Linked DNA regions of Arabidopsis thaliana. The protein of the gene in region 4 interacts with the protein of the main gene of each other region in a pairwise test. Each region holds a gene or a part of one and is shown on either strand. Other genes may lie near its edges.

Evidence for each region.
Region 1: the proteins of AT4G00870 (region 4) and ATO interact in binary tests that used the Arabidopsis thaliana proteins (3 or more experiments, as listed by UniProt).
Region 2: the proteins of AT4G00870 (region 4) and SCE1 interact in a two-hybrid assay, tested with the Arabidopsis thaliana proteins (one study listed by BioGRID).
Region 3: the proteins of AT4G00870 (region 4) and JAZ11 interact in a two-hybrid assay, tested with the Arabidopsis thaliana proteins (one study listed by BioGRID).

The regions. Positions count from the first base shown.
Region 1 is NC_003076.8:1,861,825-1,870,938, forward strand, and holds ATO (splicing factor-like protein), read right to left. Parts: upstream 4,610-9,114; 5' UTR 4,475-4,609; coding exon 4,301-4,474; intron 3,872-4,300; coding exon 3,758-3,871; intron 3,289-3,757; coding exon 3,184-3,288; intron 3,075-3,183; coding exon 2,932-3,074; intron 2,829-2,931; coding exon 2,732-2,828; intron 2,306-2,731; coding exon 2,156-2,305; intron 2,077-2,155; coding exon 2,005-2,076; intron 1,722-2,004; coding exon 1,563-1,721; intron 1,466-1,562; coding exon 1,259-1,465; intron 1,183-1,258; coding exon 1,036-1,182; intron 946-1,035; coding exon 799-945; 3' UTR 501-798; downstream 1-500. Other genes in the region: SUC9 (sucrose-proton symporter 9), read left to right, coding at 7,967-9,114. UniProt on the Arabidopsis thaliana protein: Splicing factor homolog to SF3a60 that may be involved in pre-spliceosome formation. Is necessary for gametic cell fate determination.
Region 2 is NC_003074.8:21,426,362-21,433,037, forward strand, and holds SCE1 (sumo conjugation enzyme 1), read right to left. Parts: upstream 4,038-6,676; 5' UTR 3,750-4,037; coding exon 3,681-3,749; intron 3,555-3,680; coding exon 3,471-3,554; intron 2,984-3,470; coding exon 2,831-2,983; intron 2,739-2,830; coding exon 2,625-2,738; intron 2,533-2,624; coding exon 2,470-2,532; 3' UTR 2,135-2,469; downstream 1-2,134. Other genes in the region: UVI4-LIKE (UV-B-insensitive 4-like protein), read left to right, coding at 372-716, 1,074-1,460; AT3G57880 (Calcium-dependent lipid-binding (CaLB domain) plant phosphoribosyltransferase family protein), read right to left, coding at 4,837-6,676. UniProt on the Arabidopsis thaliana protein: SUMO-conjugating enzyme that accepts the SUMO proteins from the E1 SUMO-activating heterodimer SAE1/SAE2 and catalyzes its covalent attachment to other proteins with the E3 SUMO ligases SIZ1 and MMS21.
Region 3 is NC_003074.8:15,364,067-15,371,832, reverse strand, and holds JAZ11 (jasmonate-zim-domain protein 11), read right to left. Parts: upstream 4,288-7,766; 5' UTR 4,164-4,287; coding exon 4,057-4,163; intron 3,831-4,056; coding exon 3,746-3,830; intron 3,651-3,745; coding exon 3,548-3,650; intron 3,473-3,547; coding exon 3,415-3,472; intron 2,732-3,414; coding exon 2,635-2,731; intron 2,538-2,634; coding exon 2,405-2,537; intron 2,312-2,404; coding exon 2,254-2,311; intron 2,135-2,253; coding exon 2,059-2,134; 3' UTR 1,676-2,058; downstream 1-1,675. UniProt on the Arabidopsis thaliana protein: Repressor of jasmonate (JA) responses. Targets MYC2, MYC3 and MYC4 that are JA-dependent transcription activators.
Region 4 is NC_003075.7:360,114-366,985, forward strand, and holds AT4G00870 (basic helix-loop-helix (bHLH) DNA-binding superfamily protein), read right to left. Parts: upstream 3,597-6,872; 5' UTR 3,527-3,596; coding exon 3,266-3,526; intron 3,128-3,265; coding exon 2,117-3,127; 3' UTR 1,820-2,116; downstream 1-1,819. Other genes in the region: AT4G00872 (Plant invertase/pectin methylesterase inhibitor superfamily protein), read right to left, coding at 4,034-4,328, 4,403-4,623; AT4G00880 (SAUR-like auxin-responsive protein family), read right to left, coding at 6,579-6,872; AT4G00883 (uncharacterized protein), read left to right, coding at 6,603-6,872.

The DNA.
Region 1 (9,114 bases), on a different chromosome or scaffold from region 4:
CTAGTCATCGAATGAGGCCGTTGGACTGTAAATAAAAAAGGTAAAGCCCATCCCAACTTTTATTTCTTAATTAAAATTTTGGAATATGATTAAGAAAGGAATATTTCATTATTCTTTCCAAAATAGCAAAATGAGATTGTATGTTTAGGTTTTTTGAAAACAAATAAAATTTGAAAGTCTTCGTATATGGACATATATCTGACCAAAATCAAATATCTGTGTATTTTTCAAAAAAAAAAAATATCGTAAATAAATATAATAAAAAAAAATAAAGGTAAACTATGTGATAGCTTACTTTAAAAAATTTGACAGTCGTATGAGGTATTGAGGTTGTATCTGTTTATTTTGATAATTTTTATAAAGTTTGACTCAAATTTTAAGTTTTATCAAAAAAGGAACCAATGATTTGTTAGGAATTGGATAATTAAGGAAATTAAAACATTCCAATTTTGTAAGAATATCAAAGATCAAAAAATTAGTTCAAAATTTGTGAGTACACTATCATCTGAAAACTTTAGTGATTGATTCTTACATGTAGTATCCTATATTAACTCATATCTGTTTCTTGTTATTGAAGTAAAGTCCTCAACTATTCCTTACTAGCATTGTCCATACAAAAACAAATTTTATATCCTCGATTGTGATAGTCAATTCAAAAACATAAACTAAATACTGTTTTAATGAGACGAAACCTCACAAAAAGATGACGAATGGTTTGATTTTACAAAGGCGAAAGGTAGAATATGGTTTAAAGGGATATAGTAAGGAGAGAAGATTTCATCAAGAGGATGTGATCAATCAGATGAGACCTTGGCGTTGAAGATCAGAGTAAGTCTTCTTGTTGTAAATGTTACCTTCACGATCTTCATATTCTTCTTCAAGTTCTGGCCTCCATTTGTTCACTCCTTGCCTCTCCTGTATCCTCTTCCACAATTCTTTGGCTTCCTGAAACAAACCAAACAACAACAAGATCAAATTACCAAACTATTTACTACTTTAAGCTGTACAAAGTCTTTGATCATATTATATTATTACCTCAATCGAAGTGATTTCGTTGAAGTTCTTTGTGTTTGGGATTCCTAGGCAACGCATTCCGTGTTGGTGTCGCCATTCTTTAAAATGTCTCTCAAAAGCCCTTCTTCCCCAATAGCTATAGTTCCCACATATCTCGCATTTAAACTCCTGCGTAATAACAAGAAATTTAATGTGAATCTATGTTCCTTTGATACAACAATGGTCTCATAAATAAACTACATACCTGGCCAAGGCCATGAAGTTTGTAGAGCCAGTATGGTATAGGCTTCCCATCCCAACCTATTGGTAGCTTCAGCGGATTGTAAATCAAACCGTCCTCGTCATCACTTTCTAATTCGGTATTAGCTTCCTCCCCTTCACGTTCTCCCTCCATTTCTTCATATGTCAACGACTGTTTCTTTACAATGTTTTGTTTTGTCCTTTCGATGGTCTATAAAAGGTGACAACAAGAAAAGTTAACAGAAAAAGTACAACTAGATATCTGGGAGGGGGAAAAAAATGTCACTATGAGCTTTCAATCAACTAACCTCATCAAGTAAATTGCAGAGTTTCTTCACTTTGGCCTCTGTTAGTGCAATCTCTTTAGCATTTTCAGACTCATGTGTTGATTTGGCATCTCCGTTTTGTTTTCCGTTGTGTGGAGGTCTGGCAAAATGTTTCTTATCCAGCTTTTCCAAAGGCGTATGCTGTACAAAAATTGAATTAATTAAGGGAATTAGATAACCTCAAGGTAATAAGAAAAGCTTCAAATAGAATTCAATCCCTACAAAACATGAACTATGACAACAAAAGCCTTAGTTTCATATTAGAAGAAGAGCTGAGCTGAACTACCAAACTAGGTTTCATAACAGCTAAATGTTCCTTCCAAACCCAGTAAGAACAACAAGAACGCGGCTACTAATTGATAAAAGTACCCTCTCATAAGACGAAACTTAAAGAAATAGGAGATTATATAGCAAGTGTAAAAACCTTTGTCAGGAAAAGTCTCTCGGCACGCTGCTGCGGAGTACCACCAACCTTCAGTCCTAATGCCCCCAATGCCTGAATGGCATACAAAGAACATATGATTAGGGGAATATGCTTCAAAAAGGATATTAACATGAAGTAGTATGGTCATTACCTCTTTTAGCTTTTCAGGTCCTACATCTACCAGTTCCTCGACTGTACTGTAGTAATCAAGATCTATGACAGTATGCTGAGATGGAATAAGTTCATTATCCAGGCCTTCTACTATTCCATCTGCATATTGCTCTTCAAAATCAGAACAAACCTGTAAAAGAACCAAACATATTAATCGCAACAGATCAAACAATAGGCACAGCATTGGCCAAACTAGAACTACCAGAATGTCAAACTATAACATGGTTCAAAACCTTCCGAGGATATACAATCTCTGCACTTAGAGCAAACTATGCACCAATGAATATTGAATACAACCATCTAGTTATGGCCATTTATTTTCCAAAATTATGTATTATCTCCAGGGGGATGAAAGACTCACAAAGCAACCAGTTGTTAGAACTAAGGAAATCAAATCCAAAGTTCTACACTTAATACTTGGGAAACTAGTAGAAACTTCTTAAGCACGAATAAATATACCAGTTATGTACTAATGCATAGTTCGAAACGCCCATAAAATTTCATAAGGCAACAAGGTAAACGCAATAAAATGATAAAGAAAGGGAGGAGCTTAAACCTTAGAAAGTATCCGGTCAAGATCTTGCAACGGCTCGGTTCGCTGGAAGAAGTAGACCAGGTACTCAAGTAGAGCTTCCATATACTTCATGTATTGCCTAAAATGAAAAATAGCAATACAAAAAGGAAAGCCATTCAGCTGCAGCTAGAAAAATAATTGGAGGCTTTCTAAGTAAAAGAAAATTCCAATGAAGTGTTTACCTCGATAACTTCAGTTTACGCGGTATTTTCTCTGGTTGAGAAAAAACATCAAGGTAAGCAGAATATTCAACCCTTTCCCCAAATTTAGAGTTGATGTACTGGTTATACATATCATGCAAGTCCAAGTACCGACCATTGCCTTCCTGCGTAACAGACAAGAAGATTTAAGTATTGACAATAAAAAAGGGGCTTACAAACTGTTAAAAAATGCGTCAACAAATAGCAACAATAAAAAGTCAAGCAGAAACCTACCTCTCCACTGAACGCAATAATTGGTTCCTCCTTCAGGCGTGCTTCGTAGTCTTCATTAGCATCAACAAGACGTCCAGAAGGATGCCTTTTATGATATTCACGTATCTGTAAGTTTATAAAAGAAGTTAAATAGTTGCAGCTCTGATGCTTTCATCAGTGGTACAAGAAAATCAAATAATTCAGACAATAAAAAAAAAACGAATTAGCAATTTGAATCTTATTCAGGGTGTCCTCATGAAAATTTCACCGCCTTAATACTCTTATGCAAAGCAAGCCTTATACAGCTAACCAAATTGTTGATGGAACAGAACTAATACACTTTCACTGAGATTTTGTACATAATTCTTGATTCTCCATCACAGTGGTTCAAGGCAATCAATAAAACTATTTTTTTTTAAAAGATCAACAGCTAAATAACAATGTCTAGATTAACTAATAGTCCGGTAAAGTTAGCTGCTCAATCTCTAATATACAACCCACAGAAACTAAAGTAAAGCCAAGTCTTGGTATAGAGAACCATAGGCAAGTTTTAGGGAAAAAAGACCAAGGAAGGTGCAAAGGATAAAGAACAAACCTCTTTCAAACGATCGTAAAATTCACTAAACACATTTGTCCCTGTCGCAGTCTGGCCACCAAGCGCTGCAATCTCATCATCCCACGCCCCATCCTTATCTTCATAGGTTTCAACCTTACAACAAACAAGAATCAAGGTTAGCATTAATCCAAGTTTGAGTTAATTATCAACAACAAAAATTAACTCAAATTTGTGAAATAACACTGAAGCATGCTTAGCTCAAAACTTAGAATCCCTACATACACACTTAAGACCCCAACTATAACCTATATTCAACACCAATCTCTGAAGTTTCTTCTCAATTTAACACCCAAGCCAGAGTGATTCAAAGCTAACTTAAACCCCACAATGATAACCTAAAAAGCTAAAGCAATTAACAGAAAAAGAGGCAACACTCAACACGAACCTGTTATTTAAAAAAAAATCAGCAACCCAAGTTTCTCTGCTCTGATCTAACGTATTCAAAAGAGAAGAGACATAAAAACATATGCGGGAAATAGAAAAGAAGATTAAAAATTGACGAGAAGAAGAGAGAAAGCGTACAAGTTTCTCAGTGGTGAGCATAATAGACTCAATCATGTGACGAACACGATGTCCCTGGACCAATCTGTCCTTGCTGGACGGTGGCTCCTTCTGTAGATCTTCCACAACCAATCGCTCCAACCTTTCAACCTCTTCGTGATTGGAGCGAGTTTGCTCGAGGAGAGTCGACGACATTTTCTCTGTCTTCGAAGCTTTGAAATCTCCTTCTTCGCCGGAGTCTAAACCCTAAATTCCAGTCACTTTTCTTTTCCTCAATCCGAAATCTCGCCAGTAAAATTTTTAACGCCAATCCGAGAGAAAAAGATAATCGGGTGGTTTTTGTTGTGGTTTGGGTCGTTTAAGCCGAACTATGTTTTGGGCCTTTTTAGACGGTTTGTGTTTTAGGCCTTTTTTTGACTGTTAGTGTTTTGGGCCTTTTTAGACTCTTTTTTTTCTTTTATATTTTATTATTATTTTACTTATTATAAAAAAATCTATAATATGGTAAAATACCATTTGGTAATTATTTTCTTTTAAGATCTATTCCATTTGGTAATTTATATATTTTTTATCTGATTGCAATCCTCTTTTAATGGGAATACTCAAACATTATGTGTTTGTTTGATATTGTACTATACTTCAATGGGTTCATTTGCAAAGATGTTAACGGAGAGAAGGTTGTACAGAAAAAAAATGGGCAGTTTACAACCATCCACTATGAATGGCTTTGATATTGGTAGCAAACTAACACAAAATCAAGTCATCATTGTCAAAGTTAAAGAGTTAACAAGCCATTTATTCACTCTTTTCAAATTGAATTCATGATATCTCACATGATATAAGATTTGCAAGCTATCTCCTAATAGTATTGAGGTTTGTTGAGATGACATCTTTAATAGATCAATGGAAAGAGCTATATTTGGTTGTTTTCCTCAGGAAAGAGCTATATAGGATGATCATATATTCATATTGAACCAACGATGGGCATTTTGGGGTAAGTATTGCCACCTGACAACAAAATAATAGCCAATCCCATAGACTAATCTTATGACTTCTGATATTGATTTATGTTTGTAAAACCAAAGGAAGATCTCCGAGTGGACATACAAAATTGAAATGTCGTTAACAATTCATATTTGGTATTATTTTTTTTATCTATAAACAATTTTCCATTATTAGTCACTTCCATGTCCAAGCTCAAGAATTCTGTTTCAGGTGTTGTCTTTGAAAGATAGTCCATGCCAACATCGTTTACATATCAGTATATCACTTACTTTACGGCAAACTAAGGCAAACCATATTTCGATTAGTTCATGAGTCGCTAATTGTAACTTAAGGATATCAAGGTTGGAAGTAATTCACTTTGAAACATCACCATTTCGTATGAGTTGATCTTCTTAATAAAAAGATAATAAATACAGAGAAGCAAATGAGAGTTCATCGTAAACACAGCAAACCAAATCAAGAAAACAAAGCAAATATGGTTATTCATTTCAAATGGTGGAATCAGAATATCAATAAGCAAAAACTGGTACATGGTTTGATTCACGTTTGAGTTATATGTTCCTCATTTTCCACTATTCCATCAAACCAAAACAAACAATAAAAACTCAAACAAAACTTTTGAAAAGCGGCGAAGTCAGAGATGTTAAATATGCCTCAAACAGTTTTAAGCTCATAATGAGGAAATTACCCCTCATTCGCACATCTAATTGGTTCATCATTCTCGCCGTTTCATTGCAAAACCAATAAAAACAATGTATCCTACCCGATTATATAGAACGAGATACTAAATGAACGAAATTAAAATCTGAAAATCCTCAAACGCAAAGATCTCTAGCAGATAAAAGAGATAAACACTTATATCTGAAGAGTCAGCGAGAGAGGACCTTAATTCCAGATCTAATGCCGATATAAAAAAACTCGACCTATAATAAATCAGGAAGGTAAAAACTGGGTTAGTTCTTAGGAGAACCCTAATCAAAAACCCTTAATAAATTTCGATTTAGCGCAGCAATGACTCGACACGCTTCCATTAAGCATTTGTGGAAGGCGATCTTAAGGGCTGCGCAACGATTTAAAAAAAAAACGATAAATACGAATAACACGATTTAGAACATAAGCCCTAATATCTAAGAATTGGGGGTTATAATCGAAGATGCATTGTATATATAGTGAAGACTTGTTTTACCCTAGTCGAAGAAGCTTATCCTCGTTTATTGACTATTGGGCTTTAAGCCCATGTTATTTTAAGCCTTATAGGCAAAACAAGACAGAAAACAAAAAGACCAGAATCGCCTTATTCATCAAGTTTTTTTCTTCTTACTTAAACCGAACCGAACCGAACCGAATTGGATTGAGCCATGCCGACACGGAGTTCTGCTCTATAACTTTAATTCGGCACGCAGTCTAAATACAGAGACACTATATGACAAACTCCTCCATCGCCGGTGGTCTGCACAGGGGAGGGGAAACAGCGATTCGAAAATGTCAGGTCGTGAAAGTTACCGTCTTCAGCACCGAGATCCATCTCAGACTTCATATTTTGATGTATTACCAACCTTGTTCATTAATCATAATTGGACATTGTTTCCTTCTATGATGTCGTTTTACATTTCACTCATTGTACTCTTTTCTTTGTATCTTGTTGCTAAAACAGACAACTTCTTAGCAAAATCTATCCTGAAAGAAGTTATTGTCCGTCAAGGTCTGATGTAACTCTCAAGCGATATGTACTGAATTCATGAAGTAATGGAATGTGGGAGTGTACTTTTCACTGAGGTACTCGAGAACTATCATAGATGGCTATACTTGCCATTAGAGTAGTGGCTTCTCAGCTTCTCTTGTTTTCATTCAGGTTTCTGACTCATATAAACCCGATTTCCCGCAACTTGATGCTCAGACAGAGCGTTAGTCTTTTGGAGAGCTTGCAATCATGCTGGAAAGAAGATGTTCTCGTTTTCTCTGCTGCTGGCAAATTTCTTCGCTTGACATTGCAGCTTCGTTCGAGGTTTGTGAAATTTGACTTTAATATTATCATCAATATTGATAGACATATATCTAGTGAAGATAACGTGAAAACTTGCTTGTTTTACCTTAATCGAAGAAGCTTTTTCACGTTTATGGACTTTAGGCCCATATCTTACGACATAATCACTTTGGAATTTTGGATACTTAACCATTTTATGTTAGGCTCGTAACTGACGACATAATCAATTTGGATACTTAACGTACCCAAATTGGGTTTTGAGATATCATTTGTTTCACCTTCTTTTTCTTGTGGAGGAAGTCAAAATAATATGTAACAGTAATGCGGTTTGATGCAAACAGAAATTTAAAAAAGGAAAACGAACAAAACAAATTTGACGAGAAATTGTAAACAAAAACATATTACAGAAACAAGAAATCTGTCACGATCTCAGAATATGTAAAGATAAGATAATAAACTGATTTCAGTTAGTCTTGTCATTATTACCAAATTCCTATAAGGATATTTGCGTTATATCCTTTAGTATAAATGATTTATTTTCTTAACTAATGAAACACAGAATCAAAACGTTTATAGAAACATAAATCTCATTCATCTTCCACACCTCGTCTTTAAGAGACGAGTCCGTTTCTTTTCATCTCCTCTATCACGATTCACCATCACCAAAACACAACCTCTTAAGATAACGTGAAGAAACTATGAGTGACATCCAAGCAAAAGAAGATGCGGCGCCTGTTGATAGACAGTCTTCTTCGTCGGTTGTGGTTCCTGATGAGCCGTCACCTCTAAGAAAGATGATATCAGTGGCTTCTATCGCAGCCGGTATACAGTTTGGTTGGGCTCTTCAGCTTTCTCTCCTAACCCCATACGTTCAGCTTCTCGGAGTCCCACACAAATGGTCATCTTTCATATGGCTATGTGGTCCTATCTCCGGTCTGCTCGTCCAGCCAACCGTCGGTTACTTCAGCGACCGATGCAAGTCAAGATTCGGTCGTCGTCGACCTTTCATCGCCACTGGTGCCTTGCTTGTTGCCCTTGCTGTTATACTAATTGGATTTGCGGCTGACTTCGGCCACACCATGGGAGATAAACTCGACGAAGCTGTCAAGATAAGAGCCGTTGGTTTCTTCGTTGTCGGTTTCTGGATCCTTGACGTGGCTAACAACACTCTTCAAGGACCTTGCCGTGCTTTTCTTGGTGATTTAGCAGCCGGAGATGCTAAGAAAACTCGAACTGCCAACGCGATTTTCTCTTTCTTCATGGCCGTTGGAAACGTTTTGGGATACGCTGCGGGATCGTACACTAACCTCCACAAGATTTTCCCTTTCACAGTGACTAAAGCATGCGACATCTATTGTGCAAATCTCAAGAGCTGTTTCATTATTTCCATCACTCTCCTCATAGTCCTCACAATCATAGCTCTTTGGTACGTGGAAGACAAGCAATGGTCGCCTAATGCAGATTCCGACAATGAGAAAACTCCCTTCTTTGGCGAGATCTTTGGAGCTTTCAAGGTGATGAAACGTCCAATGTGGATGCTTCTAGCCGTCACGGCCTTGAACTGGATCGCATGGTTTCCTTTTCTTTTATACGATACCGATTGGATGGGTCGTGAAGTGTATGGTGGAGACTCAGCAGGAGATGACAAAATGAAGAAACTATACAACCACGGAATCCAAGTTGGTTCGTTGGGGTTGATGCTTAACTCTATCGTTCTTGGAGTCATGTCCCTTGTTATTGGAGTGATTAGTAAGAAAATTGGAGCTAAAAGGCTTTGGGGAGCTGTGAACATAATCCTCGCGGTGTGTTTGGCAATGACAGTTTTGGTTACTAAAAAGGCTGAGGA
Region 2 (6,676 bases), on a different chromosome or scaffold from region 4:
TTGTCTCTCTACACAGTTTTGGAGTTTATCAATAGCTTTATTGAAGATTCAAAGGTAAACACAAATCCATGGTGTTTCTTCTTCTATTTGATTGCGTTTATAGACGTTAGGGTGGGGTTTACCGGTGTTCTTGTGACTCGATTTGAAATTGGAATCGGGTGATTTGTGATTTCATTTTGGGATTGTTTGTGATAACCTTTGGTTGTGTTCTCCGTTTCTTGATATATTATTCTGGAAATTTTGGGGTTGATTTTTAAGGAGAAATGAACGATTTGATTTCTGGGTAAAACCCTAGGGTTTCTTCATTCAGTTTTGATGTTTCAGTCTCTAATTGAATCTATGTTGTTGTTTGTTTCAGCGACGTTATCAAAATGCCAGAAGCAAGAGATCGAACCGAGAGGCCTGTGGATTACTCGACTATATTTGCCAACCGACGGAGACATGGTATTTTACTTGACGAGCCAGATTCACGGCTTAGTTTGATTGAATCTCCGGTGAATCCAGATATTGGGTCTATTGGTGGAACGGGCGGGCTTGTGAGAGGCAATTTCACTACATGGAGGCCTGGTAATGGCAGAGGTGGTCACACTCCATTTAGATTGCCACAGGGAAGAGAGAATATGCCCATAGTGACCGCTAGGCGTGGAAGAGGTGGTGGTTTGTTGCCTTCTTGGTATCCAAGAACACCTCTACGCGACATAACTCATATTGTGCGGGTAAATTGACAAGCTCTTTTGTGTTTTCCTGTTGATTCTTCTTTGTATAATCAGTTTTGGTCTGGCATGGGTTTTGCTTTGCAGCTTGGTTAAATGTTTGGGATCTCTCTTGTTTGTGGTGTAGCACATGGAAAATGGTTTCTCTGAGTCTAAGTTTCCCCATTGGTTTTTGTAATCCTTCTTTTGAGCTGAATTAGGAATCTGCTACTGATAGGTTTGGTTTGTTAAAGCGTTTCTGTTTATTATTGATCATAGCAGGCTTGCTTAGCCTATCTGTATAAGTTTTATCACATAGATTTGTTGCCTTAAGGCTTGCTTAGCCTGGCGATTTATTCTGTTGACACTCTTGAACTACAGGCTATTGAGAGAAGAAGAGGAGCTGGGACTGGAGGAGACGATGGCCGAGTTATTGAGATCCCAACTCATCGACAAGTTGGTGTTCTTGAATCTCCAGTACCACTGTCAGGAGAACACAAATGCTCGATGGTCACTCCTGGACCATCTGTGGGATTCAAGCGTAGTTGCCCACCATCAACTGCTAAAGTTCAAAAGATGTTACTTGACATCACTAAAGAGATAGCTGAGGAAGAAGCTGGCTTCATCACACCCGAGAAGAAGCTACTCAATTCTATTGACAAAGTTGAGAAAATTGTGATGGCGGAGATCCAGAAGTTGAAGAGCACTCCTCAAGCTAAAAGGGAAGAGCGGGAGAAGAGGGTGCGGACTTTAATGACTATGCGATGATCTTTACTTAGGAGAAGAGACCAGATGCGATGATCCTTACTTAGGAGAAGAGACCATAGAGGTATATCTGCTTAAAGGTTCCTGCACAGTGAGTACATCATCTTCTTATGATATCATAGATGGATCTACAGGTCATCCTCTAATGACATATCTTCACAAGTTCGGTGGTTTCTTAGACTTGTATCATTTTCTGATGATTTTATTAGAAGCGTCAATCATCTTTTGACGATTTTATAGGATACTCGTTTTGGAAAATCATTGTTCTGATGATAGAATAGATCAGGAATCATCTGCTGATGATGATATCATAGGAAAGATTATAATAGTTCACACATTTCATATCTGAAGTGTCATCACTTGTAGACGATTTTGGCTTGTTGTTGACTTTCAATAATTGAGTTGTATATAAGTATTGAATGTTTGGTTTTATTGCTTTGTAACTGTTGACATACGGTGTTTGCCTATCTCTTTCTGCACACTTGATTTCGTAGCTAAATTCCAAGTTCTGTTAAATATTCCAAGCTTTCTATCTCAATCATTGACAAAAAATGTTCCAAGTAGCAAACAATTTACTAACAAGCACTAATACTACTTCAAAAGTCTAAAATCAGTGGAGTATAAATTTTAGAGGAGTAAGATTTTGACTTTCAAGTGTTAAGCGTAGTTTCAAGTTAGAAATATATGTATTTCTAGATTCACAACTAAGATTCGTTACTCTATGGAATGAAGACTTCATATTTCACTTAGTAGAATTTGGACAACACTCATGAACGACCAGAGAACATAATTATGTATTATATAGAAGCAACACCAACTGAATCAGTACCAAGAATATTAACAGTTAAATAGAGAAAGAAGAGTTTTTTTTCGAAAATAAATAGATTCCAGTGTCTTAAGGTGCCAAAATGAGGAGTTTTCAATCACCCAATGACATCTAAACATAATGACACAAGACGAGAAAATATTCAGAGCTTGTCATCAGTTTTGGTGCGTTCTCTTTTTTGAGGTTTTAGACAAGAGCAGGATACTGCTTGGACTGCAGCTTCACCCTTTTCTTGTACTCAACTGGATCCTGCACAATAATCATCAACAATCACTCGACTTAGTTCCTTCCTATGTTTCAAAACCTAATATTGTGTTTAGAGTTTTCATTTCTAAATGTACCTGACAGAAGAGATGATAACCATCTGTCTGTGCAGGGTCAGCGGGATTCGGTGTGTCAAGTAAATCCTGAATACCAACAAGAATCTGCTTCACGGTGATGGCTGGTCTCCATCCCTATGGATATACACATAACAAAAGAGAGCTTGAGGATAAAGCTGGCTTTTGCTCATGGAGAAATGCAAAGAAAGAAACAGTAGAGTACTTACATAATCCTCGTTAAGGATAGAGAGACAGACAGTTCCAGATGGATAGACATTAGGGTGGAAAAACCCTTGTGGAAATTTACATTTCGGAGGTTTGCTCGGATAATCCTCACTGAAGTGCATCGTTAATGGAAAGAATCCACCTTCCCAATCAGTCTGCAGCAGAGAAACATGTAAAATTAGCTATAAACAACAGTAAAGATTGATATTAGCAATTGCTCTTGCAGTAACACTCTTATTAGCCATGTCAAAGTAAGATACACAGCAGAGTTCAGTTTCAATGTCGTATTCAAGACCAAAATCATATGCACCAATAAAAAAACATCATACAAGATAAACAAGGAGATAGATACACAGCTACTCTTCCCACTAACATTCATATTAGATAATCTTCCACGGCTCTATGTGTAAGCAAATATGAGAGAATCATCAAACAGAATCACAAAGAAAAAGAAGGGAAGAGACTGGTGAAGCTTAAAACTTTGAAGAACTAAGAATCAGAAGATGATAAAAACAAAGACTTTAGCCCAAATCAATAAACCCTAATTTCAATCTCTTTTTTGTTGCTACTAATACAAACCAGAAGAAAACAAGCAGAGGAATAAGAAAACTGAAGAAACCTAATTTCACGATTGATACTTACCCCAGCTTTACCAGGTATAGTGCAATGCCACACCATTAGATTCACAGTTCCATCCTGCCCCGTCTCCGGCTTTGCCACAAAACCCTAAATTTCACCATCAACAAGAAGAAACCCAATCAGTAATCAGAGACCATGAACAATCAACAGAAACCCAAAACCCATAAATCAAAATCACGAATTTGGAGAAATAGAAGACACGAAATCACTTACATGAGGATGATTCTTCCTCCACGATTTCCTCTCTTCAGCTAAACGACCACGAGCGATTCCACTAGCCATATCTCTCTCTCTCTCTCTCTTTAGAATCTCACTCTACAATATCTAAATCTCTCTCTTCTGATTTGTCTCGCTCGCTCTCCAATCTCTATCTCTCTATATATAAACTCGAAGAAGACACAAATAGGAGATTGGGGGAAGATGGAATGTGAAGTTACAGATGTACCCCTATGTTAAAGCTTTAGAAGGGTAATCGGAGTATCGTACGGTCCAGATTTCGCGGCGAATAAATGTCCTTTCGTCCTACTTCCTCCACTTTAATGGTTATTGACCGGTCAATTATTAAATTTTAACCAGGTATAATTATTATCTACTATATCATAAAATAAATGAAAAGACGTAATGAAAAAGTCAATGGATAAATGTGGCGTGAAACCTACGCGATGATACCCAAAAAAGCTACCAAAAGATTCTTTCTCTGCCATAACGTATCATCCCATTTGTCACGTGGCCCATTACCATATCTGGGCCCATTTACTTTGTGTTCTTAACTCTTAAGCTTGCTTTAATTATTCCCCTCTTCTTCTTAATGGTTGGTCTTTCTAGAATAAAAGTATCTCACCTGGCAAACATTTGTCAAACAGAATGGTCGGAAAAAAAATAAAATATCAAAGCTTTCAATGAATTTTTGTGTAAGAATGTTATTTAGCGAACATATATTCCCAATATGATAGTTTTTTTGGTTATAACCAACTTTGGATGTATTAGAAAAATGGTTTTTTCTTGAAACTTGTATTTGACCATTAGACCAAACTGTGACAACCTCTAATCTCAACAGCAACCAACCCAATGGCACCAAACTCCTAAAGCTCCAGTGATAAAACACAAAAACCAGAGAGGCATAGATTATGACTTACTAACCAGTGACAAGAACATCAAAACCACACAAGATACTTCTTTACTACTTTCAAACAAAAGTCTTAATAATGTTAAAAGACAGACGGATACATCATCACCATCACCAAGAAAAGAGTCATCATGACATTTTTAACAATGAACAAACTAAAAAGAGTCATCATGATATTTTTAACAAGAACAAACTACAAGTCTTATAGAAGTTTTCTTCGGTATTGGAAGCAGTTTTTGCAGGTCAGAGCATGCAATCAGTTCTTGCAGGAAGCCTTCTGAAGAAATTGAGAGGAACGGATGGTAGTTTGTATCTGAACCTCGGATGTCTCAGAGCATAGATTCCAATACAAAGAGCCACAACCTGGAAAGGTGTCACATAGAGAATGACTGCGGCAATCAAGCAGAACAAGACGAAGAGCGCTGTTGCACGCGGATCACGCCAGCTTAGCAGAGACTGAAGCCTTTCTCCTTGAGTTGCTAGATCACCTACCACTGTCTGAATCCTACCAGCAATACTCCTCAACCTGTCATACCTCATCCTGACTATGTCAGATGGTCGGGAAGTAGGAAAAGTGTCGAACTCTTCATCTAGCTCGTCGGGGTGGGCTGAGTCAGCGTGAGAGAGACGTGTGTCCATGTGAGGAGGATGCCTCGGTCTCCAACGGTAGTACCAGATACCGATGAGGAAGAGGTAGAGGAAGATGGTGGGCAAGATTAGTTCGGGATAGAGCACAAGGATGATGAACAAGAGATGGATCAAGACTGTTGTGATTGGATTCTTCCAGTTGCAGATTTGTTCAAACCATTTTCCTACTGCGATTAACCCACTCAAAACTCCCATAATCCTGAAAAAGTTTGCTTTGCTTCTCCGCATACTCCACATGTGAGAACCCACATCAAGCATATACTCAACTACTTCTTTCCTTAGAGGTGGTTCTGCTCGGGTCAGCCTCATCGATACAATCTGAGTCGCTTGATGCCTCAAGTTATCAAGCTGGCTAACCGTCAGTGGATGGATATAATGCATCTTCGGTAAGAGAGGCTGTGAGTACATATACATCATGTTGAGCAATGAAGAGCAAGTGAATCTCACAGCTAAGTGAATTTCTCCCATTTTCTTGACTCCGTTAGGATGGAGCACCAAAAGAGGGTATGAATGTGTATAAACTCGATCAGTCTCGAGAGTAGAAAGCCTGATTCTTACCTTCCCGATTCTTGAATCTTTTGCTCCTCCAATCTTCTCACCTCCATGGAGATGGCAGTTATCAAAAACTCCAACAGTAACAACGGTGCACGGATCAAAAACCTCCCAAGTATATTGCTCATTCCATCTTGGTGTAAAGCTGTCAATGATTGTCCGAGTTCGAATCCATTTCTGTCCGTACTTCGCCACACAATATGCATCTGTGGTTCCCCGGCCGTCTTTGGTTTTCATAGGCATCAGACCTGTAGCATTCAGTATCCCCAACTCCAGTACACCGATATTAGGCTTCCATAGTTGCTTCGCTGTTGGTCTAAGATCACTGCTGTAATGCGTAGACTCATCGAGAACGTGATACCCTCCTTCCAAACATATTCTCATGTGAATCCTGCTAGCGAATTTGGTCTCCTTCTTCTCTCCATCGACCATAATATGCTTCTCGAGATTGTACCACCTGCTGTTCACCGGTTTATGGTCAAATCTTCTGTCCAAATACTGCAACGGGATCGCACATCTCCCCAAGACTTCATCTTTGTTTGGAGCAACTCTATCTTCCACGCTGAGGATCAAAGGTTCCTCAAATGGCTCTGCTGCGACAAACATCAAATCCTCATTCCACATGGGATTAATAGTCCTGCTCTGCGATACTCTAGTCCTCAACGCCTGGTTTCCCACTATAGCCTTCACATAAACCTCGGGATATCTTTGCTTATCAGTTGGTATCAAATCTTGAGCTTCAATTACATTAACCCTGAGGTACCAAAGCTTAGGAGAAAGATAAACCTTGGAACGGATGTTGGCAAGAGCATCAGTACCACTAACAGTTGCAGCATCAGAGTGCCAAGCTTCAGGGAAAGCTTCATCAGCTTGAGTACCAAAC
Region 3 (7,766 bases), on a different chromosome or scaffold from region 4:
TATCTTGAATTATCTATATATCGGTAGTGATGAAACTAGTATACAAAACTTTCCGAGCAATGATCGTGCTTAATTCCTCTATGAAAATATTTTATAAGAGTGTTGTTTGTAAGCGAATAATAATCGAAGAAAGGACATTATGATTCAAAAATAAAGAATCATGGATGTACTCAGTTATTGTCAATGTATGAATATTTAAATAAATAAATTATGATTATATCATTCTCTGTATTTAAAATTGGGAATCATTGCCGACAAAAAAAAAATTGGGAATCATTCTCTATGGTATATAATAAGCAAATGAATATTTTTTTTAGTTTTTTAATCTTTTTAAACTATTAATTATTTAAATTATATTTTGACCTAGTAAAAAGTATTTATGGGTCCGCCGCATAGGCAGATCCAAAGAGCAAAGATTAAAGAAGGCCAGCTGACCCAACTAAAAATCTACATTTGTGTTATAGCCCTTTAAAATTTATGATATTATTTATATTTCATATGTTTTGACCCTTTTAAAATTACAAATTTGATGTAAACCTTTTAAGTTTTATTATATATTTTCTTCTACTTTGTGTTTTGATACTTTTAGCCTTTTAATGTGATTCACCCATAAATATTGAACCTAATTTGCGGTATATTTTAAACTAATAATATTTTTTAAAACTTGTTAGTTTTTTTTTTTAAATTACTAATTATTTTAAGTTATATTTTGATCTGATATAAAGTATTTATGGGTCTGCCCACGCGACAGACCCAAAAAGATTAAAAGGGGTCAGACGACCCCTCTAAAATTCTATATTTGTATTGTAGACCTTTAAAATTATTTTGTTTTTTCCTTTTTAAAATTACAAATTCATATGTAAACTTAAAGAGATGAGTTTTTTTTTTTTTAGTTTTTGGTTGTTTTTAATTACTTATTATTTTTAAATTATATTTGATGGACCCATAAAAAGTATTTATGGGTCCGCCGCATAGACATCCAAAGACGATTAAAGGAGGTCAGCTGGTTTCCTAAAGTTCAACATTTGCATTATAACCCTTTAAAATTTATGATATTATTTATATTTCTTATATTTTGATCTTCTTAAAATTACAAATTCGTTAGTAAACCTTTTTTTGTTTTTTGTTGCCGTTTGTGAACCCTTTAAATTACAAATTTGTATGTAAAATCCTTAAATACTTTAAAAGATGATCAAAGTTAAAGTTATCCCAAAATTTATTTGCATTGTTTCGTTGAATGATGTGGTAGCATTAGTCTTTGATCTTAGAGATTTGGTCTTGAAAAATGCACATATATAATTTATTACAAGTTTATACGGGATCATTTTGTAGATATATTTATGTAAATATAAAAAAAGTTAGAAAATATTTTTTTATTTTGATGATTTCAGTCGGATGATTGAGTGGTTATGGTAGCGCTACCAAAATATTTCATAATTTTGATGTTTTTATGAGTTATGATGTATAAATCATTTATAATAAATATGTTATGTTTCATCGTTTGTCATAACTTGGGCACATGTTAAATATATGTACTAAAAAATTATGCCGACCTGTTCACTTTTAGTGACCGACCCTAAATTGAAATGACCAAAAACTGGATTGGCTTGGTTTGAAAATTTTGGTTCTGGTAATAATCACATGCCTAACCAGACCTGAAAATTTTGATCTGAGGTCCCTACTAATCTCTCCGGTTAGTATTTGATGATTTCTCTGTATGTTTCTTGGTCGTGATTTGCTTATAAGGACACTAAGTCTTTCATGGTCATTTTTGAGTACTCTTGTGTTCTTATATAGCTCTGAGACCTTATCATACAGCATCAACATACATTGTGAAGAAAAAGAAATCATCTTCCTCAAAGAGGAGGTGCGAGATGATAAACACATCAAATCACAAACATGGAAAACAATTTTGTGTTTTGTCTAAGAAACATAGGCAGATGATTATCGTACAACAACGGAAGGCTTATATATGAGCTGTGTTAATCTTGTCAAAGATAACTGTGATACTGAGTTGCTTCGAAAGTAAGGTTTGAGGTTAGCTTACAGTCTTGGAGCTCATGTCACAATGGGGCTGGTTTCATTTTTGTCTGCTTCCGAAGTCGTAGCAGAGTAAGGCTTCGTGTGGACAAATCTGAAAATAAAGAGGGTCCAAGTTACTATTAGATGAAATCTAATGGTCAAACTCATAGGTGAGTGATGGAGAAAGATGAGAGTATATGTTTATAAAACAAGCACTGCAGATATGCCTACCGATGCCGTCTTTTCTCAAAAAATCTTTGAAGTGAACGTCTCCTAGCAATTGGCACATCTGAGATAAACATGCATCTTACATAAAGCTCATGGGGTTTTCCATACTCGGACTATATAACGTTTACGGTAATCCAATGTAGCAAGTCCTTACCTGCTGTCGATACGCAAGCTACTGTTGATGCGTTTGAGAATGAAATAGCTCTCTTTAATGCTGGATTTATACTGGTCAAATTAATTGTCTCAGTGGCTTTAGCTGCAGCAGCGATATGCAGAATTTCTTGAACCTATTAAGTGTGATCACCAAGAGAACAAGAAATCTCATGCAACTGCTTCCCAACAAAAACGAAATACGAATGTACTCAAAACTTGGATGGACCAAACCTTTTCAGCTGGAATACCATCAAATACGCTAAAACTCCCACCAAAAATAATGGTTAGTTGACTTGGAAGGATCATTGAACCATCTGGCTTCGTGGACCTTCAATAGAAGAAACAAGAGCTAGTTATGAATGATGGAAGATAATAATAATCCACCCAAATTTTAAGACCCTATTGATGCAAAAGGGAGAAGAACAAAATAGTGATTCCACTACAATATTACAGCCGCTTAGGCTATCAACTAACCTCAGTCCCATCAATACATCAGTTCAAACAACCTACTAAATTTAAATCATCTGATGATGTCATCTAACAGTAGATAGAAGGCTATTTTTGCATTCAACGGTACCAAAATCAAACACACAAGCCTAGTTCAAATTCAAGCTCATAAAACCGATACTAAAGAATGGGCAACAACATCTAATGTATTTGTGAGGCATGATCACTAAGAAATACACAATTATCTGGTGGCCATAAGTCAGCCAAATATGATATAGAAGTAGAATAATACATGAGAATAAAAGCTTAAACACTTGTAAGAAAAAAAACTAAAAGACTATCTCAGTTTCCGAAACCAGTCAATGTATACAAATTAACATTCACATAGATCCAGTCTCTTCATTTGCTTAAGCTTCAACAACCTACCTACACATGAAAATTCCTAAATGCAAGAACAATATTTGACGTCACAAACTAATACATACTAACAAATCAGATTCATACACACTAACACTTCCAGAACTATCAATATGTTAATAAAGCAAACACTGAATATCTAACTACCTGTCCCGTCTCTTCTCGAGAAATCTTTGAAGCGAACGTCTCCTAGCAATTGGAAGATCTGAGACAAACAGGGATTAATAGTCCGTAACTCCGTAGATAATGCTTACAGTAACCGAATGAAGCAATTGCTTACCAGCTACAGTTGAGAAAGAAAGAGCTCTGTTCAGTGCTGGATTGATACCGGTCACATTCTTCGTCTGTTTACCAGCAAAAGCGATGCGAATGATTTCTTGAACCTATTAAGCATTGATCACCAATACAATTAGAAACTCTGATGCAACCAACATAAACAAAATCAGAATGTATGTACTCAAAGCTAGATGGACCAAACCTTTTGTGCAGGGACACCATTGAAGACTCTACAACTCCCACCAAAGATAATAGTAAGTTGAGTTGAAGCATCTGGCTCTGTGGACCTTGAAACAAGAGTTTGAAATTAAACCTCTTGAGTTTCCCAAATTGATCTGCTAATTTAACAATTCATATAGATCCAAGTCTCGTCAATTGCTCACGCTCCTATAGTGTACTAAGAACTAACAAATCACAGAACTATAGGCTAAGAAAAAACTTCAAACACAAAGACAGATAAAGAGAAATGAGAATTAACGATTCAAATTGATTCCAGTTACTAGTGATACATACCTAGCTTCGTGAATCGATCTCTCAACGAGCAAGTCAAGTCCGGCGGAAACAGAACCGGTCCCGTCGGCGAAACTAGGAACGGGGAAATCTCCGTTTACCTCAGCCATGAGCCTCTCTGTGAATAATATCTGTCTTCTCCGTTTGATTGGGAATTGGTTCTCTTCTCTACGCAACGTTCGTTATTCGGTGTATTCATTATTCAATCAATTTTGTTTTCTTTTTGTTTTTCTCAGAAATATTCCAAAAAAACCTCAACTATTTGATTATTTTATATATCTAACTACTTATCTAATAAGTAATAATGCCTTACCAAAAAAAAAAACTACTTATCTAATAATACCTATTTATTTTCATTTGTTCTTGTAATATAGACAACTATTTAAAAAAATAAAATAGTGGACAATTTTGTTCGATGTGAAAAACTTAATACTCTTTACGCATCCTTTTTAGTACATGCATACCGCCGTTATCGTATTGCTAAAATAAATTAAATAAGATATATTAACACAAAGCTAACTATATAATTATGATGAAAAAATCAAAATATGTAAATTAGTCGAAGAACATTGAATCATTTTGATATTGAGGAACCAAAAATTAGAAAGAAATAAGCAAAAAAAAAAGAAATAGAGAAACGATTTGGTTTTTAAAGTTTGAAAATCTAAAAAGTAAAAATATATGAAAAGAGAATTAAAAATGAGACACTCATATCATTTTTCTATGATAATTTCCAAAAAGGCAAAAACGTATAAACTAAAAAAATACAAAGTAAATAAGAAATTTCTTTTCGTTTCAAAAAAAAAAGAATTAATTTTTTAAGGATAAAACTATAATTTGTTTTTAGAGCGTATGTATAATCTGCCAATATTTCTAGTTTGGGTTTTATTTGTCACTAATAAATTAGTTTGAGTTTTTTGACAACCGAAAAAGTTGAGGTTTTTTTGGCAAATTTTAATAGTTGAAGTTTTTTTTGGGAATTTTCTCTTCTATTTAAAACTCTATGTCGTAAAAGGTACAACAGTGGAAGCTTCCACTTCACCAACAATTCAGCTTATAAGCGGAGACCCAACTTAAAAAGTCCAATCCATAAAGATACCCCTTTAAGGAACTAAGAAATATAACAAATCCAACACAAAACCATGTGTGAGCCTATGAAGTAAAGTTGAAGTAGATGTTGTCGCCGTTCGCCGCTCATAGCCGATATGGTACGAAGCGTAAGGGAACTCCAAAACTACCGAAAACCGTCAGAGCTTCAAGAAATAAGTCCACAGGTTTTTAACTAGAGAATCCTACCAACTACATCATCAAATCTGTAAAGAAAAGATCTTCACAAGGGCAATGACTCCCGAACTCCAAAGAACATCAACGTAGATATTAAGCCGATGGAGCTTTTCAGCAACACCTAAAAACAAAAAGGAAAACACTCGTGTCCATAGATCAATTAGACAAATAGCCTCAATTGTAGATCATTCGCCATCTGAGATCGATTCCAGTGAGAAAAATCATCATTGATTATAAAAGCAAGCTTGATTCTTCTAGGTTTCATTGTTCATAAACCAATCGAACATCAAAATAGAGATTTACAGCTAAAAGCAATATTAGTGTGCAATGAAATTGTTTTCTTTTCTGCAACTTAAGATGTAACTCTTTGGATTGATTCCTGCAAATCGCAAACTCAAAAGATCAAATTGGATAATAAACACCTTTAAGCAAAAAAACACCTAAATTTCCAATAGAGGATCTATGAGATTATTGAAAGAAAAAAAAAAAAAAAAACATCAGATACACTGATAAGAAAAGTAGATCCGGCCAACGATGGTCATGGAATTCGAACGCTGTCAGGCAAGAGCCAGCCATCACTGCTAAAAACGACAGAGATGTTAGATATAAAACCCAACTATATTAAAACACATAAACGTCGGAATGCCATCAGGCCAGCGAAACAAAAGAGAAAACTTTCCCTTTTCTCTAAGATTTTTTAGAGAGAGAAGAGAGAGAAAGCTCGAAAACAATCTATTTCTTTCTCATTTTGTTCTTTTTTGTTTGTTTAAATGTGTAACTTAAGAAAAAAGAATAAAACAAAAAAAGGCATCAAGAATTTAAAACGTGCGTGAAAATAATACGTCGTCGCTTTGAGACTTTCCTTTTGAGAAACATAGAGCTGTTGTTAGTACTTGAGATACTCGGTAACATCAGTAGGTAACATGCATTTGCCCACCCAATCTTTTCTTTTTTTTTAGGTTTAAATTTCCATTAAAGATAAAAGCAAGTTACAAAACAAAGAGTCCAAAAAAAGGCACGCAAGCCCGAAAAATATACACGGCAAGAAGCCCAAATCCAAGTCACGCAGGCCCGAAACTAAACTTGAATGGCCCAACAAGACCCAAACAGCCCAAAAAGAAGAACAGAGAACGAAGGAACTGCCCTTAGCTGAAGAAACGAAACCAAGTAGAGAGCAGAGAGGATCCTGGAGAATCAAATTCACTACGCCGAGAAATGGGATCAAGCTTTGACCATAGAATAACCTTAAGTTCCTCGATGATCAAAGCAGAGGTACGGGGAGCATGAGAATGGATCTGACGATTGCGTTCTTTCCATAAGAGATAAATAGAGGCTTGGAACACTAGCTTGATGATGAGACAGAGATAAGCATCACACGAAGCCGAATTAATCCATAAGAGGCAGGCCATGAAGGGGACCGGAGGAGATAATCTTGTTCTATTCCTGAAGTGACTCCAGACCGCCAGACTAAAGTCACACTCAAAGAAGAGGTGATCTCTAGACTCCGAACTTCCAGAGCAAAGGACACAATCCGTGGGAATAGAAATTCCCCAACTCCGCATTCGGTCCCTAGTGTGAAGCCCTGTTCCAAGCCACAACCCAATTGATGAACGCATGATTTGGAATATAGTCCTTAAACCATATAGATTTATGCCACAGAACCGGACAGGTAGATGGGTGCAAAGCGAGCCAAGTTAGAGTAGAGGAGAACAATGGTGTGGGTGGATGATGCTCGAGCTTCCAAAGATAGACATCATCCACTTCACAATCAATGATATCAATCCAATATGGCAGGGCGTTTTTGATCGTCGAAATGATGGGATTACGACTTCGAGAAGTCATGATCTTCCATCCATTGCAAGATGTTGCGTCTCTAACAACCGCTTTTTTGTTCAACCCGATAACTTGAGGTCCTAATGGACCCGAGAGATCAATCAGCGGCCACAACCCCATCCAGTTATCATGCCAAAAACTTGTTGTAATTCCTTAACCCACCTCACACACCAAAAAAGGTCTCGCCAGGTTACAAAGTTTGCACAAACGTTTTCAAATCCAACTCCCTGAGTAGTAAGGATTCAGATCCCAAAAATTCCGGTTACCAATAAGATTAATCCTCATCCAAGAAACCCAAAGAGAACTAGCCTTAGTGAAAAACAACCAGATAAGTTTCAAAACGAAAACCGTATTCCAAGAGATCAACCTTTTCAACCCAAAGCCATCACTTTGCTTAGGCGTACATACTACGTTCCAAGTGATCTTTGCACCTCTAGCGTAGGTAGGCAGACCTTTCCAAAGAAAGGCATTACACATCTGCTCAATCTTTTGGAGACATTGGTTTGGAAGGAGGAAAACTGACACCAAGAAGTTGATGGTAGCAAAGATCACAGATTTCAGCAACCGAAGCCGACCAGCAAAGGAGAGATGTCTGA
Region 4 (6,872 bases):
ACACAATCGATAAAAAAACCGATCTAAGAAACTCACTGCTACCAACAAATCTCGTTTTATTCTTCCTAATCGCGCTAAATAACATATCATCTGCTAGTTTCGAGTTTTGTTTCAGATAACGATTCATAGATCTCGTGAGGACCCAAAAATCGAAACAAAAGGTGAATAAACTACACAGACGACTAACAACAACAACAAATTTATCAAATAGATCTGATAGAATCGGTATTTCACAAAACAAGCATCGATTCGAGAAGAGTGATTTACCTGAATCGATTTCACAGACACGGAGAGGCGCAGGAAATTTTCGAGAAGAATCTCGTTGGTAGATTTTTAGGGAGGAATAGAAGAAATAGCGATTTACGTTTCTCGTCAAACTTGAAATGACCCAAAAGGGGTTTCCGATTGTGGTGTACAAATATTGGGCCATTATGGGCCCATTTCGTTTATGAGATTTTACTCCTAATTGGGCCACACTTGACTATTGGCCCATCTTAATACAAATCATTTCTTTGGGTTAATGAAGATAAAACTTTTTATGAGATTTTATACCAGATTGGGCCATACATGACTATTGGCCAAGCTAAAACAAATCATTTCTTTTGGGGTTAATGAAGATAAATCTTTTTAAACGGATTAAATTTTCTTAAAACAAAGCTTAGAATATATACAGTCAAAAATCTATAAATTAATATTCAATAAATTAATATCTCATTAAATTAATAATTTTCTTCCGTTCTCAAATTGATATTTTAGCCCAAATATTGTCTCTATAAATTAATAAACATGATAATTTATAGAGGTTTTACTGATTAAATTACAATTGCTATTTCAATTTGTAAAAATATTAAGAGTTCCTTTTGAATGACTTTGCTCAAAACGAGGTTTTAGAAAGTGCTAAAGCCTAAAGCTTCAAATGCACATAACACCAATATTTATTCTGCACGCATAAGATTTCTAAAATGATTTCAGTTGTTTTTCTTATTGCGTTTTAAAAACTTACAGTCTATTTATAAAGTGAAACATCTATAAAGAAGAAGAAGACAAACACGTATTTATTGTTAATATTTTTTTTTGTTGTTGAGTACCATATTAACCTAGAAGTTGGAACCGGGCATAATTTTTGCATGTGGCCATTTTTCATGTGATTTACCTATCAGTAAATTTTTGCATAACCGTTACATCGTTGCAGCAGGATTGAAGAAGGGATCATGTGAAAGATAACTGTTTCTGACTTTCTGTCAAAGAAACTTAATCTTAAGGTCGAAACTATATTGTATCATAGGTTATGTATACATAGACACATGATAGTTTGTTGCATAACATATTTTAATTTCTTTTAGAAAAACATAAAACCATGATCATCAAATAAAACAAAACATTTTTGTCTCATTAAGTAAATGCAAAATTGTTTAGTTCTGTTTTATATGTGAATGTTAGATACAGAATGATTACTTTTTCAAGCACAAAAACATTTTTTGCAATTAGTAATTAGCAAACAAAATAAGAAAGATACAATTCAATTGCATTATTGTACCCTTTTCTTCTCTTTGCATTATTGTACCACTTTTTTTTCTCAACATTATTGTACCCTTTATTTTTCTGTGCATTGTACTAATATTTTTTCCCCAAATTAACCAATCAGTGTCTTAATATAACAGTACGTCCAAGAATAATTAATATAAAGCATTGGTAGTTCATTACGTAATTGACTTGATTTGTTAGCAAGCTATCACTGAAGAGTGGTCCTAAATATTATAGGACAAGCGTGTGTGTGTCTATAATTCCTCCGTCTTCTCTATGGTTTTCAAACTAATATTTCCAAATGATCAATTAATGAGTTGTTTCTTTTAAAATATACAGTCTCTATATTGTTTTAGTAAGACAATATACCAAACACTTTGCGCTTTTAGCGAGCTAGTACGTACGTACGAGAAATAAAGTAAAAAAGTAACACATAAACTACGTATCAACGAGATCAAACTTTTGATAAAACAACATTAATCGCTAGAAGGAATTTGATTTTTCTAGTACTTATCAAATAAAACAAAAGGTCGCAAAAAAAAACAAAAATTATTATCACATCCTATGTTGACGTCACAAAACAAAGAAATTGTTATAGGCTTAGGGTTCGGACAAGTGTGGTCCTAAGCCTATCTTCCGATCTTAATCCTTCTGGAACCAAAACAACAACATCTTGAACCATAACCTGACTCAAGCGCGACGCGTTCGCGTGTTGTACACGACAATCCATTTCCATTAACGCACTCATCAATGCCGACGTAGGATGGTTCACATTCTCTGTCTGAACCCTAATTATGGCTTCTTCTCCGACGATCTTCACTTGCACTTCCAAGTCAGAGCCTCTGTTTGATTTTGAAGGTTTCTGGTTAACTTGGTACTCAACGGAAGACGGAGACGTATTGCTGCTGCTGTTGTCTAATTTATCTGTCTCCGTCATCTTCATTTTCTTGATCTCAGTTTCGAGATCATCGATTTTGGATTTAAGACTTTCTATGTACGAAACTGCGTCGGATAAAAGTGACGCTTTGTCCATTCGTGACACTTTTGGTACGATGGCACGTAGAGCGTAAAACCGGTGGTTTAGCTTCTCTCTCCGTTGCTTCTCCGCTTCCACGTGGGACAAAACCGCCGGATGATGTTTCTCTTTCGTCGCCGCAGCTACCCTTGTCGTCTCAAGTTTCCTCCTCCGTTTTCTTTCCGACCCGAATTGCTGATTTCCGCTTTTCGAATGATCTGATACCGCCGGTTTAGGGTAAGAACCGGTTTGGTTAGTGTGTTTTGTTGTTTTACCCGACCCGAATATGGACTTGACTCGGTTTATAAAGTTCCGGTTTTGTATAATTGATTCAGACGAACCAAGTTCGATAATGCCATTGTTGATGGGTATGGAGACCAATGTGTGTACCCCGTGAAAACCGGCTTCTTTAGCCCTCTCGTAGTTGCTAAACCGGAGCTCGTCGGGACCGGTTAACCAAACCAAAGATTCATCGGATACTTCCTTTCTCGGCGATCTATCTTCACCGTAAAACGATGCGGCATAGAACAACTCCAGATCATCTCCACCGTCCATCATCAGCTCACACTCGATGCTGTTTGTTGTATACTTAAGAAAGAAACAAAAACAAAAAATCAAGGGTAAGGAAAATTATATTATTTTCTTAATAGAACTTTTTTAAGAAGTTGATTTAAATAAATTTTGGATATTTTGATTAGATAACATAAGAGGCAAAGAAAAATGAACATTTTCTTGGGAATTGTTGTTCTTGTTTCCACAGAAATGACCATCAACCCAAACCAAGTAAGACCGGTCCGATTGATCATCAAACATCTTTTGCCAAAAAATGACATAAGCCCATCGGTCCGGTGAGGTTTCCACGACAAACCGGAGTTTTTGTTGAAGTACTAAATCCGGAGGAGAAGAGGACACTATGGCTGCAGGAGTTTGTTGTGTAAAAGAGAGCAAAGAAGAGGACAATGATGGAGAGAAAGTGAGATTATACATTTCTTTCCAGTGATCCCGACCAAAGAGAATTTAGAGGGTTAGAGAAGACAAGTGGAAAAGGATGAATAAGATTCTAAATTAATAGAGAAGACGATATTATAGTAGTAATATCAAATTTTCATTAATGATTTTCGTGAATTAAAGTTTATGATAAATATTCCAATAGTAGTAAGTTAGTCACGTGAAAACTGAACTGTTTTCCTACTTTAACGTTATAAGAACAACAATTTATCGTATAGTGGTCCAACTTTGATGAAATAGACAATATATCATTCTTTGCCAAAAAAAAAAAAAAAAAAAAGACAATATATCATTTAGATTTATATTGAATGATGGTTCAAACGAAAACTTATTTTGACAAATTTGAAAAGAAAAAAAAAACATGAGAGCTACAACAAATGGATATATGTGACTTTATAAATTTCATAAAGGAAATGATTTATTCAAATTGGGGTAAGCATTGATCGAAGTTGAGTTATATAGAAAACAATAAGGAGTTATTACTTATTAGAAGCGATCAATGATCCTCATAGCAGCGTCAGAGAGTTGAGCATAGATATTGATTTGACTAAATAGTTGGGGAGACGTGAACTTGACACGTTTGAGATTGAACATACATCTCAGAGGAAAGCCAAGCGCAAGCTTTATCGATTTGTTGGTTTTATCATAATCACCGGTTTTCAAACTTGTTTTGGCTTCCGACAGTATTGTAGATGCATTCGTCGACAAGTCTTTTTTGCAAATCTCCAGAGCTGTTTTCACTTCACCTTTATCTTTCTTTGACGATAAATTCGTTATGTTACTACACAAATGAAAAAATTGATATATTAGAGGATATTTCTGTATATTGGTTATAATTTGTAAGTGAAAACTTGCTTGGTGATGATATGGAGGTGGGATTCAAGACAGTTTATGACGATGCCAGCTATGCCTATATGGTCGGCGTGAATGGAGTTTGGGTCGGATTCAAGACATTGCATGCATATGGCTGGGACGTCTGCATTGTGGCATTCATTTATCATCATGTCCTTCTCGGCGCATATCGACATAGGAGAGATCACCAGTATTAACAGCAGAAACTTGATCATCGTTTTCATGCTAAGTATGATTGATTATAGACTATATTTCTTTTTAAGGGGTGTGAATTACTTATATAAACTAAGAATATGGTTGGTCATGACTCATGAGTGATCTCTTTTACATTACACGTGTTTAACGTCTTTAATTTTACCTTTAAAACTGACCATTGAAATGCAAATTGATGTCTTATTTTACTTCATTTGGGTAGAAAAGCAGATTATAGTTCTCTTTTTGAATTATAATTTATACATTTTCTTACTCCATTCAATAATATTATGATCTATTACCCTTTAGTTTATGTTTTAAGTTTTTTTAATACATTTATGGATATTATTAGACATATAAACAATATAATAATTAAGATGTTTTGGCTTAGAACCTCCTAGTATTAAAAAAAAAAGTAGGGTAATTAATGATGTTTTTTCTTAAAACAATAACTAAAAGTAAGTAAAAGTTTTTTTTTTGTTAATTTTAAATTTTACTAATTGTAAGTAGGTAATAATAAAATTTAAATAAATTAGTGTAATTGTTTTTTTTTATATATACTTAGCTGAATACTTCCGTAAACATGTTTATAATACAAAAGCCCAATTTTGGCCCATAAACTTATAAAACATGGGTTTTTTTTTGTCGTTATAAAACATGGTTTTAGTTCACGAAGAATAATATATTCCTACCGCATCTAATCTATTAAACAAAATCACGTTATTGTATTTGGTAGTGAGTGTTGTTATTCTGGCCATACAAATGGTCAAAAGCCTCTCGTCCATTTCTTTCCATTTTCAAGATTCTTCAATCCATCATTATTTTGCTTTACTTATAAAGAATCGTACGAAAAATTATAATCGAAATAAAGTTTCGAATATACGTACTTCAAACAAAATTAAGAGGAGAAGACCACTGCACAATTGCATATTTATGGTAGATTTTGCTTCACTTTTTTTTGCAAGTGTATGATTAAAGTTTTTCTAACATATCATGAGGTTGTTATTTTTGTGACCGTAAAGATTTAATGAACAACAATTGCGTAGACAACAATGTTGATCAGATGAATTTATAGATTTAGCGAATAAATTTCTTAACTTAATCATTCATTTACAGGAACTTCGTTTTCACATATCTTTATGAACGGAAACGTAACATAGAAGTTATATTGATGAATGGTGGTATATATGTGAAATAACCACTAAATTACTTTCTTCTCCAAATGATTAACCTGTTGTAGAATAGTTTGGCAAAGCCGATAGAATCAGTCCATTGGCCTCCAGTGAAAGGCTTCCACTTTTGAAGTTTTTATAAATTTTCATTGCCAAATTTCATCTTTTGTAACTCACTTTGGAGGAACTTCAAAATCTTGTATCACTTTATCTTTTTCTCTAACATTGTTTGCTTCATAGCATACGTTGAGTCGACAAACTGATTGTTTTTCCTTCCATGTTTTAATCCTTTTTTTTTGCCATAAGACCAAGTCTATAAGTCTAAAATATATAACTGTAAACCTAAACATTTTTATTCTTATGAATATTTACATTTTAGCAACAAAAAACCTGAACTAAAGTGATTTTTAAAATAAAAATGATTTTTAAAATAAAAATGGAAAAATGTAAAATTACTTTCTTCTCCAAATCATTAATAAAATTATAAAATTTCAATTGACAAGTCAACTCATAGAAGAGATTGAGTATAGTAAATAACTAAATATTAATTGTTCAACATACATATTATTTTAATATTATTACAAGATGATGATTTTCTATTTTTATGATCGGGCATAAGCGTACAATTAATCATCATGAGACATATATATATATATATATATATATATGAACAACAACAACAACAACAACAACAACAACAACAACAACAACAACAACAAGCCACACCTTAAGATAAGATGAAATGAAGACCGAGATTTATTTATAATCAGCAGCATGAGATAATATCTAGTTTAAAAAGAGCCAAAACAATATCATCAAACCCTAAAACACCGGATGAGATGGTTGTGATGATGATGGTGATGATCAAGGAGATTAGTACCGAGAAATCTAGTGTTTTCTCGATCGATCAATCCTTGAACATACCTAAACTCCTCAACGTGACAAGGGATCGTGATTGTCCCTTTTTGAGCAAAACCAAACTCTTCTTCAGCTTCCTTCAAGAGTTGTCCAAACAAAGGATGATTAAAGTACATAACGGGAATCACAAATCTCTCTTGCTCTTCTCCTTGTCCTACCTTCACTGCCAAACACCCTTTTGGTACCTTTTC